Linked DNA regions of Rattus norvegicus. The protein of the gene in region 2 interacts with the protein of the main gene of each other region in a pairwise test. Links are inferred from orthologs where the notes say so. Each region holds a gene or a part of one and is shown on either strand. Other genes may lie near its edges. The genes, in order: Abhd5 and Plin1.

The links.
Region 1: the proteins of Plin1 (region 2) and Abhd5 interact in a protein complementation assay, tested with the Homo sapiens proteins (3 studies listed by BioGRID, with this or other methods). The link is inferred for Rattus norvegicus from reciprocal best matches to the Homo sapiens genes PLIN1 and ABHD5.

What each region holds. Positions count from the first base shown.
Region 1 is NC_086026.1:130,874,721-130,882,013, reverse strand, and holds the start of Abhd5 (1-acylglycerol-3-phosphate O-acyltransferase ABHD5), read right to left. Parts: upstream 4,143-7,293; 5' UTR 4,103-4,142; coding exon 4,050-4,102; intron 3,859-4,049; exon of another isoform or gene 3,446-3,858; intron 2,248-3,445; exon of another isoform or gene 2,133-2,247; intron 1-2,132. UniProt on the Homo sapiens protein: Coenzyme A-dependent lysophosphatidic acid acyltransferase that catalyzes the transfer of an acyl group on a lysophosphatidic acid.
Region 2 is NC_086019.1:143,082,310-143,089,429, forward strand, and holds the start of Plin1 (perilipin-1), read right to left. Parts: upstream 3,840-7,120; 5' UTR 3,824-3,839; exon of another isoform or gene 3,768-3,823; intron 3,220-3,767; 5' UTR 3,206-3,219; coding exon 3,161-3,205; intron 1,096-3,160; coding exon 891-1,095; intron 1-890. UniProt on the Homo sapiens protein: Modulator of adipocyte lipid metabolism. Coats lipid storage droplets to protect them from breakdown by hormone-sensitive lipase (HSL). Its absence may result in leanness. Plays a role in unilocular lipid droplet formation by activating CIDEC.

The DNA.
Region 1 (7,293 bases), on a different chromosome or scaffold from region 2:
TTTATCCACATTCTCTCTAACTCAATCAGGGCATTAAGTTTAACACAACACTTAACAATTAGTCAAGGCTGCTCTTGAAGCACATGAAGCTTCAGGACAGGTGTTAAGTAGTATGGATCAATCTTTGGGTCCTGAAGCACACATTCTGATTGTGTGGCCCACCATGATTTTTATAAGCGTTGTTTTTTGTCACAGGATTGATATCTGCATTTGCTGGTCTGTGACTGCAGACCCACTCTGGGGTGCAGGAACAGAGGGCCAGGGGTTGGTTCATGTTAGGTCAAGAAATAGAATCCTGTTTCCAATATCCCCGGGAAGTTTAGATGTCTGATTCTAATTGTTGATCTATTCCAACACAAACATTCCCAAATGCCAAAGGTTTAATAAGAAATTGAGGATTACCATTTATAAAGCCCCTTTGGACTCTGCCAAACATTTGAATAAACAAAAGCTTTGTTCTGATCTGACAAAAATAAGTATATAAATAAGTGTATTATTAAATAGAATCTATGTGAGACAAAGCAGCTTCAGAGCTGGTTGTGGTGGTGCATGGCCGCGATCCTGCCACTTGGGAAGTAGAGGCAGAAAGCTCAAAAGTCCAAGGCCACAACTTCAAAAAACTTAAGAAATGCCATGCGGGCTGAGGAGATCACTCAATGGGTAAAAAACACTTGCTGTACAAACATGAGGACCTGAGTTCAGATCCTAGTACCCATGTGAGGAGACACGTCCTAGCATCCCAGGAGCCGGACTCTCCAGAACAGCAAGCTTCAGGCCTAGTGAGAGACCCTGTGCCTCAGGAGTAAGGCAGAGAGTAACCTGCCTGGCTGCCCTTCCTCATCTGGCTTCCACATGCAGCACACACGCACGCACACACACACACACACACACACACACACACACACGCACACACACATGCGTGCATCACACCAACATACAAAATACCATGACCTTATATAAAGAAGATAACAATCAATGTTGGGTTACAGAAAACAAAGGAAAACAAAGGGAAGCAAGGAATGTGTTTAGTAAGCATGAGAATATGGCTTTCCAGAGTTAGAGTCAGGTGCACAGACCTAAGTGGAAGCCACACAGATTCCAAATGGCTTTGCAGTCAGGCTGGGGACAAACCGTAACTAACAAAGGAAGTAAAAAAATGAGCTACGGGCAATGGTGTTACCAACCCTACAAATGCCCTAGGAAAGAACAAGAGTGTTTGAAGTAGGTGGCTCCTGGGTAGTAGTGGAACGAGAAAGGGCAGGTTGTTAGACTCTATGGGGACTTGATAATTGATTTGCTATCCAGAGGCAACAAAGGGAACAAATCTGACAGAAGCCAGTTCTAAGAGTGTAGATAACCAGAAGAATGCAACTGCCTTCAAAAAAGAGTAGAGGAGTGAGCTGTGCACTTTACACTGATTAAAGGAAGGAAGACATAAGTAAGGTATGGCCTAACCATGTTGAATGTGAAAAAGTAGATACAAACAGCTGGCAAACACAAACAGTACCCTTACTCCAGTCCAGAAGAGAATGAGATCTCAGTTCTTCAAAGAAAAGATAGTTCAAGAACTGTTCATAAATTAAAAAAAAATAAAAAGACTATAATACGCTCATGGGGAATTCTTGTATTTAGAAAATAATTAAAAGAATAGAACCTAATAAAACTAATTACCGGTCTCGGTTAAGAGAGTAAACAAGTATGAGTTAGCTGTCTAAATAAGAGATTCTCTATAGTACTGATCACTGAAGAGGACACAAGAGGGCTGGGGGATGTAGCTCAGTGGCACAATGCTCACATGAGGTCTTGAGATCAGGGTGTGTGTGTGTGTGTGTGTGTGTGTGTGTATGAGAGTATGAGAGTATGAGAGGTGTGTTTCTGTGTGTGTGTGAAAGAGTAGCAAATAAGCACAGGCATTGGGATTAGTATTGAAGAATTTCATGATTTTTAAAGTCTTGGGGCAAGGATTACAGAGCAGTAGCAGCAGGAGAAATGTATAAATCTTAGTGTTTTAGGAGGTACAATAAAGAAGTTCATCTTTAATCTCCAAAGCACAGGAACATACAGAGACTTTAACACATATCCAGCAGGATGCTGGAAAATCAACTGAGGCAGTAGAGAGAAATCGGTCTTACTTAATAAAGTATGATTTTCCATGGTATAAATACTCCCACGGTGGCTGGTTTCAGGATGCTGGTGCTGTAGAATTCCTGAACATTCAGCAATGGTACAGATCAACTCCAGCATGCCCTGAAAACCACAAAGGTTCTTGGTCTACTCTGAATGGTGAATTTCTGTGATGGCGTTTTCCCCCACACTCTACCAGTACATAACTCTCTGGGATATCATTAAAGCAATCCCCAGAAATCTACCCTATTCTTGTTATATTTGGCTTTCTCAACTGTATTGCAACTGAAAGGGATAGGATTTTGAAAGCTTCCCAGTAAACTTGTCTCCACGAAGAGCCACAAAGGGGAAGAATTATATGCTCCAAAACGCTGTAAGCTGGCAGCTTATAATGGCTTGCTTTATTAACATCATCTCCCCATGTGTATAAAGTTAGAAAGAAATGTGAGGGAAACGCCTTAAAGCTCAATTTAGACACCTGAAGAAGCAGGTAGGCTCCAATTAGCTCTGCTACTCGGAGGTGGCAACTCCAGATGAAAATGGGAGTGGTCAGATTCCCCACACCAGGGAGACTCTAGGACTATCATGTCCACACTGATGGAGCACCCAGCAGGAACCTAGCCTTCTCTCTGCTTGCTTGGTTGTGCAGCACTGCTCCAGGGTCCTGCCAAAAATACCAGGGAGGTCTACCTCTGTCTAGGGACTGTGGCCAGTCTTGCCCTCAGTGACCTCCAGCCATCACCCATGCTCTGTCACTCTTACTGTCGTGCTACGGATTCCTGAGCCTCACAATTCCTGAGTCTCACGGTATCAAGACCAAAAGGGCCCACAAGTTAGAACTCTCGGAGCCAGAAAATGTCTTGGCAAATTTAATAGAAACACAGGTCCTGGTTGTACCACACGACACTCTGTATTTCATATCAATGTAATTAGGAAGTTCAACAACAGACCAAAGCAGTGAGCTCCACCTGTTAGTTATCACTTAAACAAAACTTGGAGAGTGTAGTTTCTAATGTTTCAAAATATTCCTCCCCTAACATCTTTCCAAAATACTTGGCTTTCACATTACCAGAATCTATTTTCCCTATGCAAATGTCTCCAACTAGCTGAAGTAGAACTTGTGAAAGTACTTAATTTATAAGTATAGTCCTGTCCATACAAAACAAGTAGCCTTCTGAGGATCATAGTGAAATAAAACTTCCATAGTAATTTAACTTTTCCACCAAGCATTATTCTACTCACAAGGACACGTTATATCAAAGACAGACAGAAAAGAATAACTTAAGATGTCTATCAAAAAGTTGGGTATGGTGGTTCCCACCTGTGATCCCAGCACTGGGCAGCTGAGGCAAAGGGATTGGGTCTCTGTAGATCTGAAACAAGCCTGGTCTACAGATTTCCAGGCCAGCCAGGGCAAACACTGAGCGACCCCGGTTTTCAAACAAACAAAACAAAACAAAACAAAAACTTAAAGGGCTTCCTGTTAGGCATCTGCCCTTCAACTTTCACAAAGTTTGCTGCCGAGAAGACTCCAGCCGACTTTTCTAATGAAGCCAGACCGCCGGGTCACGGGAGCGCACAAGGCAGCGGGAGGTGGGACGCGAGCGCCCCGGGTCCTGAGCTCCCACACCGCCGACGGACGGCCGTCCCGAGGGACTCCGCGTCCGACGCCTACTCCCACCCTGGCGACGCCCAGCTCACGCGTCCAGGGAAGGCGGCCGGGACCCGGCGCGGAGTTCCGAGCTCCGCCGAGCTCCGGACCGCCCGGACGGCCGCCCTCCCTCCCCGTAGCCCCGCGGCCCGGGCGCTGCCTGTCAGCCCCGACGGACCGGGAGAGCGGACGCCCGCGCCTTCCCTCGGCTGGCCGCCCGGGGTCGCCAGAGCGCACGAGACCCACGCCGTCCCCCTTCCCGGGTGATCCTCACCCTCCACCGGCGTCTGCCGAGTCCACCTCCTCCTCCGCCGCCATCGCTTTCATCACTGCCGCCGCGCAAGCGCAGGAAGGCACCTCGAAGCCGGCTGACAGGCCGACTGGGCGGCCCCCGGCCGCGGCCGCCCTTAAGACCGCGCCGCCCGCGCATGCGTCGGCCGCGCGCCGGGACGATCCGAGGGCGCGGCCGCGCCACGGCAGGCTCGGCGTCCCTGCAGCCGGGCCTCACAGATACGCATGCGCTGCCCGCCTGTCGCCTGTCGCGCGGAGGCGGGGGCACTGGTTAGGAAGGTCAGCCCGACGCCGCGGGAGCCTAGGTAGTCATCCATCAGAATAATGACCATTAATGCGTCATTCCGCCGGGCCGGACTGCCCTGGACGGCGCTCTAGGCAAGCCATCCACAGCCTGAAGTGAGATGCCAGCCAGAGACAGCCTGAGTCCGAGACACAAGGCAGAGGTGCGCATCCTCAGCGTGGTGGTGGCCCCTCCAGCCCTTCCTTTCAGGAGGTGGCCACTGGGAGAGGGCGGCTCACTGGACCCTACAGTCCAACCGCAGTCTGAGTGGACACTGCTCTGACCCTAACCTGCACTCCCCGCTGCCAGACTCTAGACATGAGAAGTCTGAGAGCATATGTGTAGGTACTAGAATTACACACACACACACACACACACACCATTACCACCCACCATGATCGCGGGAGGGGTGCGGGGGGAGAAGCTTCCTAGAATCCATTCTGAAATGATAGAGGTCTGAGGGCTCATAAAATATTCTCAAATAAATATTCTCGTGAGCTGGACGTGATGGTACATGCCCTTCACAACAACACTTGGGAGTTGGAGGCGAGCACATTTCTGTGAGTTGGACCAACCTGATCTACATAGAGAGTTCCAGGCCAGCCAGAGCTACACAGTGAGACCCTGTCTTTAAAATAAATAAATGTAAAGGGGACGGGGCTCGAGGGATGGCTCCGTGGTTGAGGGAGCATACTGTCCTTATAGAGGAGAATGGAGTCTATTTCCAGCATCCTTGTGCAGCCCCCACAACTGCTTGTAACACCAGTTCCAGAGGAGCAACACCCTCTTCACCTCGGAGCACCTTAATGTATATGCACATACAGACAAGCAGGCACACACATAAACATAATTCTAAAAAAACAAATCTTTTTAAAACCATAAACCACCACCACCACCCCACATGGGATTATTTTAATTCTTTTCTGGCTCAGGGACGTTGGCGAGTGAGTGAAAGTGACAGAGAGGGAAGCTCAGCACAGGAAAATAGAAGCCGGCAGCTAGCAAGGCTAGTGTTTAAGTCCAAGGCTGTGTTTTAAAAATAGAATTTGGAACCATGACACTCACTGTGATTAAACAATATAGGCATCCTAGTGTTGCATAAGGGATGTTTCCCTTGGCTGGGGGCAGGTCCCTCGGGTCAGGAGAAAGTGGTATGAGGTAGCCTAGCTCTTTGTGCTCCTGATGAGCTGCTCAAAGCTAGGGCTGTGTAGCTCAGTGGGCCCTCTATGCATCAGTTCCTAGGTCCAATTCTCATTACCTCCCTTATCCCCGTGCCCCAAAAAGTGAACTTCTGAGAATATGTAATAGGTTCCTTAGTTCAGCCACACCTGGGTGCTACTGATGCCTGGGGCTGCTCAGGAGCCTGATGTACGCTGACTGAGTTTTCAAATCATTCTTTTTTAAAGATTTATTTATTTCATATATGAGTACACTGTAACTATCTTCAGACACACCAGAGAGGGCGTTGGATCCCATTACAGATGGCTGTGAGCCACCATGTGGTTGCTGGGAATTGAACTCAGGACCTTGGGAAGATCAGTCAGTGCTCTTAACCGCTGAGCCATCACTCGAGCCCCCAAATCATTCTAATGAGGCCACAAATGTGTGGCGCGCCCCTTTCACAGAGATCTAACAAAGGGCAGGTGTGCGGATATGGGTTTGAACAGAAACACTCCCGCTACCCTCTGGATTTTTTTTGGGGGGGGGAGGCAAATGGATGATGTAAATATCAACGTTTTTATTCCCTTCATTACTTTAATTTAAAATTACCTTTCTCCAATCATCAGCTTCTACCTACTTGTGAGGATGTATTCACTCCCACATACTTACCCACAGTTAGCATACCCTTACTCTGTAACCGCAGTGTGTTGAGGCTGGGATGACAGGACTCTGGCCTTCATGAAGCCCATGCTACCCTTTATTTAAGACCCCATCATCTTTCTCCATCTTAGACCACGTTAGCCGCTGTAGAGGAACACCTCGACGAGTCATTTACAACAGACAGGTTTGTCTCTCGTGGTGCTGGGGGCTGTGAGGACTGCCATGCTTCTGTGGTATACAACGAGGGCCTTTGCTGTTCATCTCATGGCAAATACAGCAAGAAAGGGGCCCAATAAGAAACCTACTCCCCCAAAACTGACTCCCAAGATGAAGGCATTAATTGATGCATGAAAGGAGCATCACTGTGGCCCAAATTCTGCCCTTAGGGCTCGCCTTTCAATACCACTACATGGGTTGAGCTTCCAGTATGAGAACGCTGGGGACATATTTAAACTTCTGGCTTTCCTCCCTCACTGCAATCTTTTTTTCCCATCTCTGAGACCCACTCCCTGTAGTTCTCAATTTTTTTTTAAGATTTATGTATGTGAGTACACTGTAGCCGTCTTCAGACACACCAGAAGAAGGTGTCAGATCTCATTACAGATGGTTGTGAACCACCATGTGGTTGCTGGGAATTGAACTCAGGGCCTCTGGAAGAGCAGCCAGTGCTCTCAACCTCTGAGCCATCTCTCCAGCCCAGTTCTCGGACTTTCTCCAGTGGTGGCAGCTTCGTAGAAATCATCATACTGACTTTATGAGCGTGTGTTTGGGTTCGGGGTGCCCATGCTGTGGTTAGTGTGTAGCAGTCAGAGAACGCTGTGCTGGAATTGGTCCTCAGGTGCCAGACTTGGCAGCAGTCACCTTTCCCCACTGAGCCATCTTGCTGGCCCATGCTTACAGCTTTTTAAACGGATATTACCAGATACCGTTTCCGTGACAGCAAAAGCATTTTGAAGTTGTGGTATTGTCTGTGGTTTAAAGGAAGGGGAAGCTACCCATAACCTCTTAAACATGGTGGTAAGTAATATGCCTCATTCTGTCTGATATTTTAGGAAGATGGAGACCTATAAAAAATAGTTTTATAGGAACTCTTGGCTGTTGCTAACAGCTTGTAATGAGTCTT
Region 2 (7,120 bases):
CAGTAATTGAATGTACTTTTTCTTGGACAACCGTATTCACGCATGTGGTGTATTTTCTACTCTTATCCCTGCGTCTTCTCAATCCCCCTCCCACTTCTGTCAACCCCTATGTTCGTGTCTCATGTTCTTATCATTTCGTTTTGTTTTATCGCTCACAGAATTCAGCCAGGGCCATCTATGTGACCACAGATTTTAAGTGGAGCCTTAAAGTCTTCTTTACCTGGTTGCTGGGTAGAATCCTCACATTACCCGCAAGCCTCTATCAGGATGATAGAAGGTGCTAGATTTCTCGGTGCTGCTGAGAGTTCCCTCAGCCCTGCCAAAATAAGTCTTAGAAACCATACTTTCAGATGGAGGCAGAATGACGCAGATGGGGCGAGCCTGATGAGGCGAGCCTGGATGGACCCTTGTTTCTGCCGCCAGTCGCTCTCTGCTGCCCCCACCTGTCGGGAACCAGTATCAGCAGCAGCTGGATGAGTGGGCCTTCTCTATCCCTGAACCTTCAGCGCTGCTAGGCCAGTTTTCGCGCGAGATTCTGCTGGTTCGGGATACTGCTGCTTTTCTTGCATATGGAGTTGGGGTGGCTAAATGTCCTGCCACTGGCCCTACTCTCACCGCTGCTCACAGATCGTTGCTCACCTTCCCCCTCTCTTACTCCCTCAACCCCCTAGCATTTTTTGGCTGTTAGGCTGGGCTACAACTGAGGCAAATATAGACATATGTCTGTAGCGGAGAAGACCAGGAAGTTGGATATAGATAAGCAAGGGAAGGAGTCAGGGAGGTGGACAAATGAGTTGTGAGATGATCAGACAGACTGACAAGCAGACAGGCAGACATGCGGGGAGTATCAGTGGACGGGCAGGATGCCACGGAGTTCTCTGAGGACTCACACTGGGTGGAGAGCCGGCGGACCACCGGCTCCATGCTCCAGGCAGCCAGGTTGCTGGCACCCTGTACACCCTTCTCATAGGCATTGCACACAGAGGCCACCAGGGGGTGGGCTTCTTTGGTGCTGTTATAGGTCTTCTGGAAGCACTCACAGGTCCCGCTCACCACAGGCAGCTGCAGGACTCTCTGGAGCACATTCTCCTGTTCCTGTCAGCAAAGAAAGAGTCAGATACTCCCACCCCCACTCTACCTCCCAGAGAGCTGACCCTTGCTAGAACCATGCAAGGGTCACGTTATCGAGGCCAGCCCAAGTCTAAAGGAAGCAACGTATCTCCAAATGGCCTGCTCATGAGAGCACGAGGAAGCCAACAGAAAACATGGGACCCAGCCTGCTATGCCTTCCTGGACTCTGGAGAAATTCTCAAGCAATCCGTGTTCTCTGGGAACCAAGCCAAATCCCATCTCCTCCCAACTCATCCCTCTTGACTGACTACAGAGAGAAAGATAATGCTTGGGAAGTTTAGTCCACCTTCAACTCATATCTTCATCTAAACATTTTCAAGGTCCTTCTGAGATGCTGGACCTGCGTCTGGATGCTGGACCACTGCCAAATAGGCTCTCCTCCCCTCCCCCATCCCTTTTGGTGTAATAGAATATTATTCTCTTCTATGACCTCCTCTGTGAGACAGGTGGTGCACATCTCTTGTAACCCTGGATAGCCTTGAACTCTATATATATAGTTGAGGATGACCTTGAACTCCCAGTGATGGGATTAAAAGCCTGTGTCGTGTGCCGCTAGGACCAATTTTTGGCTCTCTGCCTTTATGATTATGTCTGCCCTTGGGCTGTCTTCCTCTGCCACCCTGCTCTGGTTACCTTTCTCCCAGGAGAATGGCCGCTAGTCCCCAGTACCTGTTTTGATACAGGGTCTCACTGTGTAGCTCTGGCTGTCCTGGAATTCACTGTATAGACCAGGCTGGCCTTAAACTCACAGAGATCTTTCTGCCTTTGCCTCCCAAGTGTTAGGGCTAAAGGCATGCACCACCACCGCCTGGCCAGTTCCTGTCTTAGTTTATAAATGGGTCACTGGACAGACCTGCGATCCTTTCCTCTTGACACTCTAAAATTTGGCATGGCCTTCGTTAAAATACAACACTCCATGTTTAAGCTGATAGTCCGATGAGCCTGGTCCTGTGGGACGTGGTGTGGACATCTCTTCTTATTTGGATGCTATGTTATCAAAGCATTTTGCTTTGTCAGCACTTGCATGATTAGATTTTAGAAAGGCCCAATCTGTGAGTGAGAGAGTGATTCTCGTCGTGGGGTAGGAAACAACATTCAGTGGAGGCTATAATGCTCTAGGATACTGCCTTGAGCTCTCTTAATCTTTACTGTAGTTTGCCGTAGATGCTACCCTACTTGCAGGAGGAGTTAACAGAGCCATCAGGGAAGGCTGCCTGGGCTCCTGAACAAAGCAGCCCACACGATTTTAGCTTTTCATCCTGCAAGCGAGTCAGATATCAGAGGGAGAAAGGGATTCTGACTACAAAAGGAAACACCCTCTTCAACGTTTTGGGCAGAGCATTCAAGGCTTGTTTCGGACAAAGCTAAAGGAGAAACGAGAGGGAAATGGAAGAAACCACTAATCGTTAGTTAGAAGGGTTAAGGTTTCTTGTGACCCACTGACACCTCTCTCTTGATTCAGTACAAAACAAGGCAGTCGCCCCTAGTGCGGAGCTTAGTTAGATCCTAATAGAATGAGTTTCATCTCCTCCAGGGTCACATGCCTGAATTTCACTATCTGAACTCAGCCCAAAGCAAAGAGGCAAAAGATATCAAGAACACATAAAAGTATCAGAATTACTCAAAACCAGGGCTAGAGATAAAAACTGGACACACTAAACTTCCAATTCATTCCCACGCATGGTCGCACAGGCTTCGTGCTGCAGATGAGGGTCACGGGCTCAAGCTGAAGCCACAGAACAATGGACTCTCTAGGACATGCACACTCTTCTGGGTTTAGGACCAGGAGGTTTCTTCCCCTTGTCTCTCCTGAGGCCCCAGCCCGCATTCCTATTCTTTTCTCCACAGTTCTTAGACTTCTATAGCCACCTCTTCTCCCCTCCGTTCTCCCAAACACCCGTGAAAGGTGGCAAGGACAGGAATAACAGAGACACTGAGTTCGGAACCTAAGGTAGACAGACATCTTACTTGTTCATCCCTCCCCCTTTGGTGGCCCATTCCCCACCTCACAGGAGTCCAGGTCACTTACAGGGAGGTCTCCATCCAGCAGGGTCGGGCCCTTGTTCATGGACATCCTTACTCTTCACACTGCAAAGCAGAATCCCAGATCCATCAGAAGCCGGCAGGCTTGTATTCCATGGGTTCCCTCCCTACCTCTCACAGCTGTCCTCCAGCCATCCTGAGCTCAGCTGGCCTAGGTTGGAGGGCAAATATCATCTAGGAAAGGCTGCTCCTTGGAGTCCCAACACAAGTCCCCCAGTCTGCCCAAAATGAGCTCAAAAGTGATCTTTTTTTAAAGGGCTCAAGGTAGATGAAAATGGAGGCAATTAGACAAAGAGAATGAGATGGGAGAAACAGTTTAGAACAAAATCTGGGACTCTTAAAAAGAGACACTGAAAGAGACTAAAGAATGAGTGTTGGGTAGAGTTTAGTCTTTTCTTCACAACAAAATTCTAGTTAACCCCTGTTTCCCTCTATTGCCAGCTAAGTTAAGCCTTCTCGCAAAGAGCTGTCTTCTGGGTAAGCCAATGGTCCCCCTGTGCCCCTGGTCTTTTATTCTTTTCCTCAGGGCTCTCCCTGCAGATCTCTGCATCCCTTGGTAATTTCCCCAGATGCTCTCTCTCCCAGCTCCTTGCCTTTAACACTGAGAAAGCAACCAGGTAAGGCAGACACCCAAGGACCCTACACTCACTGCAGCTGAGAGCCACCTCAATCTCAGACAACCCAGCTGTGGATGGTCTCCTCCCCAGAAACACTTCCAGCCACTCCAGGGAATCTTGGGCAATGCCTCTCAGACCTCCCAGCTGGAGGAGGGCAAAGAGGAAGAGAAAGCTGGGCCAGCCCGTCACCATAGCTGTCTGAGCCAGGGTGTCCCCTGGGCTCACCCTAACTTCTATGGAGGATACTTAGCCAATAAAGAGGTGGTTCTCAGGGCTGAAGGACTCATTTGTCAGAGCCCAGAGATGGTAGTTCCAGAATATTTCTGGCTCTCAATTGACAAAAAAAAATTGCTTTCCATAAAGAAGCCACTGCAATGTGGCTCATTAAACTCCTAAACTCAAAGTTCCATGTAATTCTATAATCTTTGGTCCCTTTCCAGAGAAGTTTTTATGGGACAATATTCAATCATTACCCCATCCTTTCTTGTTTGCTAGCAAGGATGACTATTGAACGGCATGATTCAAACCCACACAGGGATAGGGTTCACCTTAATGTTTAGTCTACCGCTATCAAGATTAATTTCCGGCCAAAAGAGAGACAAGATAGAGCAGTGAGAGTTGACTTCTTAGCAACCTGGGTTCTGAGGAGTAGTTTCATCCTCTGTAAACCTCCAAAGCTAGAGAAAACCTCTTGAAGCTGGATACCATGGCACGAGCCACAGAACAACTCCCAGAACGCAGGAGGCTGAGGTGGAACTGACAGTTTGAGGGTAGCCTGAGCTGAACAGCAAGCTTGTGTCTCAGGGGCTGGGGGGTGGAGCACCATGGCAGAGGGCTTGCTTGTTTAGTGTGTGGAGGGCTCTGGTTTTGATCTTCAGCACTGAGGAAAGGAAAGGGGGAAGGAGGAACAGAGAGAGGGAGAGAGGGAAAGAGGGACGAAACTATTTGGTTTTGTTCACCTAAGTCTGGACAAGTAAAGGTGTTGACAAGCTGGGTTTGTTTGTTTGCTGTTTGGTTGGTTGTTTTTGCCAACCAATAGCACCTAGGCAGCCAAGAACTATCTGCTGCCATTCCTTCCTCAACAGGGACTCGGGGGTTGGGGATTTAGCTCAGTGGTAGAGTGCTCGCCTAGCAAGTGCAAGGCCCTGGGCTCGGTCCTCAGCTCCGGAAAAAAAAAAAAAAAAACAGGGACTCAAGCCAAGCTCAAATCTTAGTTCCTGATTAAAGTTGATGGAACACTGTGGTGCCAACCGGTGTCTTTACACCTCTTAATCACAGTGAATGAGAGCACAGCATTAATGTTAGTCCCTACTTAGCAGATTTGCATGTTATTGAGTCTACTAAGTTGTTAGTGTGGGCAACAGGATAGAAAGGCACTGGGCAGGGTCGCCAAAATGGCTCAGCAGGTCAAGGTGATTGCCACCAAGCCTGACCGCTTGAGTTCAATCCCTGGGCCCCCCAAAGTTGAAGGACAGAAGTAACCCTGGCAAGATGTCCTCTGACCTCTATATGCATGCTGTGACATTTGAGCACGTGTATAAGTGTGTGTGTGTGTGTGTGTGTGTGTGTGTGTGTGTAAGTCAGAGTACATGCCACACACATAATCCAAACACATGCATAAATGTAATAAGGATCTGAGAAACAGCTACAGATAGATCCTTGGTGGTAAATTTTATCTTTAGTATATAATAAAACAGGGAACAAGATGCCAGGAAAGGGAGGGGTGTGGAGCAAGGAGCTTCCAAAAGAGGTAATGAATGTGTGCAGCATTGGATACTTTTTAATCTTGGTCTGAGCTGCTGCTGTCTTCTTACAGCAGTGGAGGAGGCGGCAAGCGTGTAAAGTGGCCTCTCCCTTTGCTTCAAGGTTCAGGACGGGTGATCTGGAGGCTCGCATCTGGGCACAGCCCAGGCTAAAGGACAGTCTGTCTTCCCCGGGCAGTGGCTCTGGGCCAGAGAGGATACAGGGCACTGTGCCTAAAAGCTCTGCTGACAAAGCTGGTCCTTTGGCTGCTTCGGTACAGATTCTAGAATGTGGGTAAAAGGTGACCAGGGAAAGAACCAGGCAAATCCTGAGGGGGAGGGGGAGAGGCAGCTCTCCAACTATAGGGGGATGGGCGGAGACGAGCTATCTCATGCAGCTCCCCTCCCTCCACTACAGGAGAGCAGGGCTCTTGGCCATTCTGTGCACAGGCGGGCCCCCAAGCCAAGCAGGGTCCCCACTGCTGAGTCAGTGCTCGGCAGCAATGCTCAACTGTCAGTGTGCTGCCCTGTGCAGTCTTGTCGACAGTGTTGGTTTCTTTAAAAACCACAGGAATAGTACGGGAATATTTTCCTTTTAATCCCAGGTTTGGGGATTTGGGGCTGCTTCAGAGCCGGTGACTATGATTTACCTCATGCCTGGATGCTGCTGGTTGCAGTTGGGAATGGTTGGTTGTGGTTTGCCAAGTAGTTGTGTGCAAAGAGACGAAAAGAAGAAGTTAGATATCCTGGGTGAAGATCAAACACACCCTGAGGAACTCAATGCCCCTAATCGGCAGGGAGCAGTCTAATAATATGGTTGCCCTTCTTCCTACCTGACTTTATTCGGGGATTTATTTCTCTCTTACCCAGTGTTAGGGGGTTGAAGGGGAAGAAGAGAGGTGGAAAAGTGTGGAAAAGAAAAGAACTCTCGGGGCTGGAGAGATGGCTCAGAGGTTAAGAGCACTGACTGCTCTTCCAGAGATCCTGAGTTCAAATCCCAGCAACCACATGGTGGCTCACAACCATCTGTAATGGGATCTGATGCCCTCTTCTGGTGTGTCTGAAGACAGCTACAGTGTACATACATATAATAAATAAATAAAAATCTTAAAAAAAAAAAAAAAGAACTCTCGAATTAGCCGCAAGTCCAGTTACACAGCCCCTCTGGGCTTTTCAGTGTTTGAAACCTCTCATAAATGTGGACCCAGGTAGAGAGGGTTGAGGAGAGACATACGATATGAAGTAGCGAGGCCCACTGAGGTTTACAGACTCTAGAAGATGGCAGTCCTCCACCCTCCCAACACCTTCTCTAATGTGTAGGATCCACAGTACCAGAACAGATACCTGTGAAACACTGCCGTGCACTCAAGGCAGGCCTCTCCAGGAAGAAGCTAGCCAGCCACTGCCAGGCTGCTGCAGAGCTCCTTAGCAGGAATGGTTTGGACAGATTGTAAGGGAACCTCTCAACCCAGAGCCTCGACACAGTCCCTGGGCCTTCCTCCCAGCCTGTGCCTAGTCATTCCTGAGCCCACAGACTCTGAAGCAGACACACTCACAGATGCATGAGTCAATTTTATCTAGAAATTT